Linked DNA regions of Coturnix japonica. The protein of the gene in region 1 interacts with the protein of each later gene in a biochemical or structural test. Links are inferred from orthologs where the notes say so. Each region holds a gene or a part of one and is shown on either strand. Other genes may lie near its edges. The genes, in order: TOM1 and TOLLIP.

The links.
Region 2: the proteins of TOM1 (region 1) and TOLLIP form a complex in vitro, tested with the Homo sapiens proteins (3 studies listed by BioGRID and IntAct, with this or other methods). The link is inferred for Coturnix japonica from reciprocal best matches to the Homo sapiens genes TOM1 and TOLLIP.

Annotation. Positions count from the first base shown.
Region 1 is NC_029516.1:47,624,914-47,628,723, reverse strand, and holds part of TOM1 (target of Myb protein 1), read left to right. Parts: coding exon 1-114; intron 115-600; coding exon 601-734; intron 735-1,393; coding exon 1,394-1,427; intron 1,428-1,979; coding exon 1,980-2,088; intron 2,089-3,079; coding exon 3,080-3,200; intron 3,201-3,810.
Region 2 is NC_029520.1:9,918,883-9,923,334, reverse strand, and holds the start of TOLLIP (toll-interacting protein), read left to right. Parts: upstream 1-1,388; 5' UTR 1,389-1,535; coding exon 1,536-1,568; intron 1,569-2,004; exon of another isoform or gene 2,005-2,025; intron 2,026-4,452. UniProt on the Homo sapiens protein: Component of the signaling pathway of IL-1 and Toll-like receptors. Inhibits cell activation by microbial products. Recruits IRAK1 to the IL-1 receptor complex. Inhibits IRAK1 phosphorylation and kinase activity.

The DNA.
Region 1 (3,810 bases):
AAGAAGCTGCGCAGTGAGCTGGAAGTGGTGAATGGGAATGTGAAGGTCATGTCAGAGATGCTGACAGAGCTGGTGCCATCCCAGGCTGAGACTTCTGACTTGGAACTGCTGCAAGTAAGGAATACAAGGCAGCTACTGGTGGGATAGAGGGCTGGCACATGGAGCTCAATTTAGCAATGAGTTGATGAACTGAGATGTACATGCCAGGCATGGCGAACAATTGCACTGGAACAGTTCAGTGTGGGACTTATCAGGGACAGATGGGATAAGGGAGACATGGGGGTTGAGGAGTTTCAGTGACTAAGGGAATTTGCCCTGTTGAGGTTGGAATCATCTCACACGAGGACCTGAAATTCCTGAGGGCCTTTATTCCTGAATAATATGTTAAGCAAGTGGTATGCAATTATTGCAGGGACAGAGAAAACTAGTAACTATAAATCCCAAACTTGGTTCATTTCTCGTACCAACTTCTGTTCCTCCTCTACACTTGCTGATAGACTCCAGTAGGCTCTGGAGTCTGTCTGTTGCATTCAGACTTTCAAATCTGCAAGTGCTCAGCCTTAGCCTGACCTTTGTGGTAACTTTTCTTGCTATGAACAGGAGCTGAATCGGACATGCAGAGCCATGCAGCAGCGTGTACTAGAGCTCATTCCCCGTGTCCAGCATGAGCAGCTTACTGAGGAGCTACTCCTCATCAATGACAACCTCAACAATGTGTTTCTGCGCCATGAAAGGTACCTCTATCCTCCCTGCTCTACTCTTCCGCAAGAGTTGACTGCCCTTTGATAGTCTATCCCACCTTTTGATCTGCCCATGAATGTAATGATCAAGGTGTGTCAACCTGAATAACCCTTTGTAGAAAGAAGAGCTAGTCTTCAGATCTTGCTGACTTATCCATGCACCTTCAATACGCTATTGCTGATAGAATATAAACATAACCCAGAAGAAGAAAGGGACTGCATGAAAAGAGCTGGCTTTCTAGCTCTGAGGCAGACAGACACAGGAAGGACTTGCCTAGGTAAAATCTCTACCTGCTTTTGTCCTCCATTTCACCAAACTCATCTTTTCTACTAGGGTAAAGAGAATTTAGTCTCTTCTGTCTGTCTAGGAGAGCTAGGTTTGAACCATTTTCATTAGAAGTAGCTCTGAAGTTTCACAAGAAGCTTCCTTACGTCACATCTTTGGAGACGTCTTTGGAGACATCAACTCTGAGGGCCCCTTTTTTGTGTCTTCTGTTTAGGGGAGAAATTGGGCCCTGAACAGGGTCCCCCTTTCCTAGTATGCAGGAAAGGGCAGGCTATGCCAAACCTTACTGAGAAATCTCTTGGGCTGAGCGTGAATTAGTATGTGCTACTGAAATGCATCCTGTTTCATCCTGTCATCTTCCTTGCAGGTTTGAGCGTGTTCGGACAGGACAGCCTGTTAAGGTAATTCAAAGCTACTGCCTTTTGTATGGATCAGTTTGCATCCCGCACAACCTGTGATGTCCTGCTGAGTTGAAAAGAGATTCAGACTTGCCTCACTTGCAAGCTATAGGTTTTTCTTTCCCAGCCCAGACACACCAGACCTCACCAGTGTGTAGGACATTGCATTTTGCATCACTAGACTTTCCTTTTGTAGTAGTAGTCTCCTTCCCCTCACCCAAAGAATATGGACAGACTAGCAGTAGATGTGGTTTCTTGGTTTTGAGCATTAAAAGGAACATTTCTCAAATAACCCTCCTTGTATCATCACTGGCCTGTTGTCTGAGCCAGCACTTAATCTACTGACATCCCAGCAGAGCTGGGACTTGGGTACCAAGACGTATTCTGTCCTATTCCCAGCCACTTCTCCCAAGTACAGGCTCCCCAGCTGATATCTTTTGGTGGGTACAGTTAGGGCTTCCCTTGTCAGTGCTAATAAGCTATGACTGGGGAGTCCAAGTGTTCGAGCCTCACAAACTCTTCACTATCTATCTTCCTTTTTTTTTTCCTCCGAAGGCACCAAGTGAGGCAGAGAATAACTTGATTGATCTGAGACCCAGCACTCCCTCTGCAGTGAGACAACCTGAAGTCACCAACAACCTCTCCTCTCAGCTGGCTGGAATGAGTATGTTGCCTCGCAGTATTCTCCTCAGTCTTTCTCCTGTGCTGCTATAAGAAACCTGTAATGTACTTCAGTCACCACCCAAAATATTTTAGCCATATTCATAAAGTAGCCTAGACAGAGAATATTGTCAACTAATAAGCTAATGAAGAAATCTATGCATGCCAAGAGACTCAAGCACGTCTCAACATTAACGCCTCGGATTGTGCAGGAGGTGAACCTTCTTGTGGAAGGATCTCAGTGCTAGGATGTGGCTAAGAGCTGAGCTTTCCAGCAGGGGGGTGAAGGGGAGAAAGTTGCTCTCCCTCCTGTCCCTAGCAGCAGTGCAGTTGTTTCTCTTACCATGTGGTGTGAGGCTGACACCAAGGTCTTGGAGAAGAAAAGCCACTGAGCTTTACTGCAAAGGCAACCGTGAGTATTTTGGGCTCAGGACCCAGATGCTGACAGGCTGTCAGAAAACCTGAGGGATCCTGAGGGGTATCCAGGACATACCAACAGTCTACAAAGTCATTCCTGAAATTCTCACTGACTGTGAGCATGCTCAGTACAACTTGGATGCAATTGAATAGAACTAACGATACTATATTTACAAACAAGTTAGTGGAAATGTTTTTCAAGTCAGAGTTTTTCAGGTGATGCTTAATTCCTGAAAATCTACTCCAATGGGTAACACAGGTTATCCTCTTCCACAAGTTATGGAGCAATTCCCTGTGTTAAATGATCAGGAACATGTGCCCTTCAGAATAAGTGCAGCAAATTGCTGCTGCTGCTGCCAGAGACTGAGCTAAAAATATTTGCTGAGTAGGAGAAGAAACTGATTCTGTCACATCATCAATAACACTGATACACTGCTGCTTCTGAGGGGCAGAATCGATTAGTGGGCCTGGAGCATTTTAACCTGTTTGAATGTTAGCTTTCCACTTAGCACCTCTAAGCCCATAGCTCTCCATTCATGTCTTCATGCTGCTTGCTTACTATCTTTTCTCTCCTATAGCCCTGGGCTCAAGGAGCGTGAGTGCAGGGCTGCACTCCCTCGACACCTCTGGCAAGCTGGAGGAAGAGTTTGACATGTTTGCAGTGACCCGTGGCAGCTCACTGGCTGAGCAACGCAGAGAGTGAGTGTAGTAGCCCCTCTGTCCTTGCCTTCTTCTGAGTGGGGAGGTTGCAGGGGAGTTGGGGTCATGATCCCAGCCAGCAACAGTTGGTGGGAGGCAGTAGGGTGCAACAGAAAGGCACTCTTCCCACACACAGTGTTTGTAGGATGTCCTTCCCAGTTATTCTCCCTTGCTGCCATTCAGTGTTCTCCTGGTCAAGTGGAAAAGAAAGTGGTCTCTGTGTACACATTGGTCACCAATGGACAGTGCTGTGCTGTATGTGCTGTTGAGGCTCAGTGTCAGAGGTGAAGGTGCAGAATGGGACTGGCTCAGTTTTCTTGTCTATCTCTGAAATCATGAGTTGCTCTGTGCATTGACTGGGCTGATATTGAACTTAGTTATCACTGAATATCAGTGATAGCTGAAGTGCAGGAAGTGCACAATCCATTGTGGTTTGCAAGGCAGGGAATTGATATAGGTCTCAGTTTCCCTCTTGGTAAGTGGGACTGGTTTTTCTTCCTCTGTAGTGTGGTTAAGACCTCCAGATGTAAAGCAGTAAGAGTTAGATCTAGTAGTACTGCCTACACACTGTCTACAATGAAGAAGTCTCTTCTCTTCTGCAAAGAGTGAA
Region 2 (4,452 bases), on another chromosome or scaffold:
TCATTATAGCTTCTCTAATTACCTTTCAACCTTTTTTTAATATATACATGATGTTCGTATGTTACAAATAACAGGGTTTTATGACTTTTGTTCTCTCACCTTTCCCACAGCTTACATTCCATTTTAATTACTACACTGCTATCAGATGCTTCACTTAATGCTCTTGCTCCCTATTTGTGGTGATGATGCTCTTGGGGAAGCAAAACCACCTGCCTGGTGGCTGTAGGCGACACGCTGTTCTCGTGGACGTCCACTAGATGGCAAAGCCGGTATTTCTGTTGAGTTTACAGGCCACCTTCAGCTAATAACTAACCTTAAGGTAAGCACATAGGTTAAAATAGGAGTAATATCGACACCACGTTCTTTATCAGCTACTCCATCAGTATACAAGCTTTGTACACGCAGGCCATGTACCTAATATTGTAAGATGCATTTATTTCCAGATTTAGCCTCTTTTCTACCTGCAGAAGCAAGGGAAAGATGACTTGCTTCTTTAACAATTCTGTGGGCTGACTCGATTTCTGCTTCCAGTAGAGGAAGTGGTGACAGTGATAAGGGAATATGAGAGCCTTTCTCTTCTGGTTAGCTTGCATCTGGCATCAACTATATTTGTTCAATGGCTCCCAATCAATTATATCCTGTAGTACTCATTTTTCTGAGTATCAAGACGAGCAGAAAGATGAGGCCGTTCCCACTCCATATAGATGAGATGGCAGTGTGAAAAAGAAGTCAGTGCTATATTTGGAGCGCTCCTAATTGCACTGTTCTATTTCCAGCTGCCGAAATTCACACTAGAATTTTAATTAAGGGCTAAAATTCTTGCAGCGGATCCTAACAACAGGAAACAGTTATGTTATTTAAATAGGCTTTGAAACGATCAGATTTGATCTCCCAAAGCAGCACTCGGATGAATATTAAAGCTGCTTTGTTCTTCTGGAAGGATAAGCAGCTCACTGTGCTGCTCAAGGAGGGCACCTCATCTGGGGCAGCCATTTTGTGCTGTGGACAACTGGTCAGTGCCACAGCGGGGATGACACAAAAGCCATTTTCTACACACACACACTGCACCCTGCGGTCAGACTGTGCTCTCTCATACACAGCAGGAGGTGGCAGAGGCGTCGTGTGGGAGCTCACACTGAGAGAGGTTTCAACGCTGGCAGAAGGGCAGCACGGCCTGTGCCTCCTTCCCGTGTTCTCTCTTAACGCAGCCCAAGGGCACGCCATCACCGCCCTCAACATGGCGGCCCCGCAGCCTCGTTGCCAGCCCCGCAGCGCCCCCTAGCGGCGCCCTGCGCTGCGCCGCGCTGCGGAGCCCGCAGAGCTCAACAGCGCATGCGCAGGACACGCTAACTCATTCCCCCCCCCTTGCTAACGGCTGGCGCATGCGCAGACAGGAAGCACCGCGCACCCCATCGCCAAGGGGCTTCCGGCCCGGGGTCAGCTGACTCGCTGCCTCACGCTGTGACGGCTGGTGCTGCGGGTAACGGGGCGGCCTGGCGGGGCGGCAGGAGGAGGCTCGGCCCGAGGGAGGCGCCATGGCGACCACCGTCAGCACACAGCGGGGCCCGGTGAGTGCTGCTGGCAGGACACGGCTTCGCCCTTGGGTATACTCGCCTCTTAATCCTTGCGCGGCCTGGTGTGGTGTGGGCTCTTCCATCCCGCTTTCTGCCAGGCCCAACTCCCGCTTGCCGGCCGGTGGCCCGTGGGAGAGAGGAAAGTGAACGTGTCCGTCCTCGGTTCGATGTGGTGGCGAGGGGTGAGGCTGCCTGTGCTCCCCGGTCCCCGCCTAACAGGGCAGGGCAGCCGTCCTTCTCTCTGCCCACACGCCTCCGACAGGCTCTGGTGCCCGCTCGTGTGCCAGAGGGGCCTTCTGAAGAAGAAAACAGCGTAAACTAAACCAGAGCTTGATGTATTTCTCCTGAATGTAGTTTAGAGCTTCCTGTATTCCTGCTCGGACCGGGCAGCCTCAGACAGCTGTCCCTGGAAGCTGCAGCATGGGATGTGCTCACTCTTCAATGTGCTGAGGTAGGATGCAGCCGCAGGGCTGGAAACCGAGCGGTCCAGTTGAACAGTCCTATGAGACTGTGCTGAGGGTGAAATGGGAAGCTATTGCTGCCGAGTTTTGCTCTGAAACAACCCTCTACCTTGCATAGGTGCTGTACAGTGCACTGCACAGCTTTCGTGTTGCAGCGTTGCCTAGTTCACGTGCCATGTGCTGCTCCTGGCTGGAAGTATTGAGCAATGCTTGAGAGTTTTCTTGGAGTAAGTTTTTGGTGGAGAATTAAGGTCAAAACAGTGCATTAAGTTAATTCTTTGTATTATGGTTGGACAGCTGCTGTGCTGTGACCTATGAATTAGGCAATTGCTGTCCACGGGGGCCTGGTGTTTTAAAGTCGATGGTGTGATTGCACCCAAATGCTGTTCTTTCAGTTTGTAACAGGTATTACTAATAAATATGTATCTGACAACACTGTTTTAAAATAACACCTAGTCAGGCTTCAGTTGATGTTTGGAGAAGGTTGGGGAACTTGTAGGGAATCAGTGTGAGAGGAAGGGGCTGAAGGAGATGGTGGCCAGCTGTGATGGTTTGGATAAAGCTGGACACAAGCCTGGCTGCAGCACTGATTTGCTGAGACAACATTGTGCTGGTTGTGATACCTCCACGAAATGGAGCGGCATTTCTTTTTGTGGGAAGTTTTACTTGTTGTGCTGAATACCTTGTTGACATTTCATGTATTACTTTTAACCTTGACTTGTCTTAATCAAGCTAAAACCTCCTGTTGGGTTGAGATAAGATTTTAGGGAGGACTTCCTTGGAGTTGGCCTCAGTTTTTTCTTTCTTATATACTCCCAGCACTGTGTGTGCTTTCCTTCTTTGTCTTAACATTTTAGAAACTGGGATAATTTCAAGTGAACTATTATGCAGCATTAAGAAGCTGTCGTTCATAGGTGAGAAGGCCAATACAGTACGTACCGGCTTCCTTAATTCTCTGAAGGGCAGAAGATAGAATTCTGTTTGTTTCTCTACTTATAGTTGCATTGCAAATGAATAGCCACTAAACGGTGCTAAAGGACTGGGAAATGTTTTCCCTTCAGTGCTACAGAACATTTCTACTGTTACTGAAGAGGTAAGACAATACTCAGGATGGTTTCATGCAGCTAAGCAAGCAGTGTGTGCTGCTGACAGTCTTGATCTTAGGACCATGCTTTCTAGTTTGAGGCTGCTTATTTGGTAAGTAAATAAAGTTTTGATTGCTCTCGAGTTTTGCAGAAGAAGCAGAGCTGGAATCCTGTTTGCTAAGGGTAAATATCCTAAAATGTAGATTTCCTGGGCTGACTTCAGGGTAATAGGGAATTAGTGTGTTTTTGTGTTTTGTGTTGTTTGAAGATCAATACAGCTTTTGAAATCCACGCTGCAGCTGAAGATAGAGGGGCTGCTAAAAGGTAACTCTTTTCAAGTGATAGATATCACTAACAGTCTGGTCGGGCTTCAGATTGAGTCTTGAGTTTGAGACCCCAGTGCTGTGTGTTGATCCTTAAGCTGTCCAAACACGCCCAGAATGGGTGTCTGTGATTATCTGCAGTGCTGATGACTAAGTCAGGTCCTCCGAAGTTAAACTGAGTGCCAAACTAGAGCTGCTGAGGTTTTTGCTCCCTTGGCTTCCCTGTTCATTTCTGCTTTGGTTTGAACTCTTCTGTTGTGCAGCTGGAACGAGTGCTCGGTTCTTTTCCTGTTTTAATACTGTCATTTAACTGCGTAAGTATTGTCATCTCTGTTTAAGTGTCTGTTTTGAAATGTAGCTCAGAGCTGCTGTAAACATGACTTGAATTTAAGACGTTCATTCATTCTATCTTCATTATGTAACTCAGTTTTGAATATGATTATTTCTGCTGTAATTAGCCCAGAAATTACAAAATATTTCCCTCCTTACTAAAATAGTGTAGGTTTATCATTGCTTTTCCTTCCCTAAAACCAGTGGTTTTTTTAATTCATTAATGGCTGTGCTTTTTCACTATGGCATGTGCTTTGTAGATCTTTAAGTATCAGTGTGCTGGGAAAACTCAGAGGCAACAGCTTGTGGCAAAATATTCTGTTGGGGCTAAATGTAGTTTGTATACATGGGAAGGGGAAATGCTGTCAAAGTAACAGCTGGACTCATGAAGTGCTTGGAGATGGATGAAAGCAAAGCAGGTGGTAAATTTCTAGCAAAAAGAATCATGAGAATGAGTTAAGAACTGTCTGATAGCTTGCAGTTTGCTACCCTTTTTATTTTGCTTTATTATTCATTAAGGCTTATTAATTTTTAAAGCTTATTAAATGTAGATCTTTCCTTTGCCTGTCTCTAAATTGAGAAGCTTAAGTAGAGCCTTGGGCTACAGTTCTACAGAAGTTGGAGATTCATGCAGTAATATTAGTTGTATAGAATCGAAATTGCTGAGGCTAGACGGGGT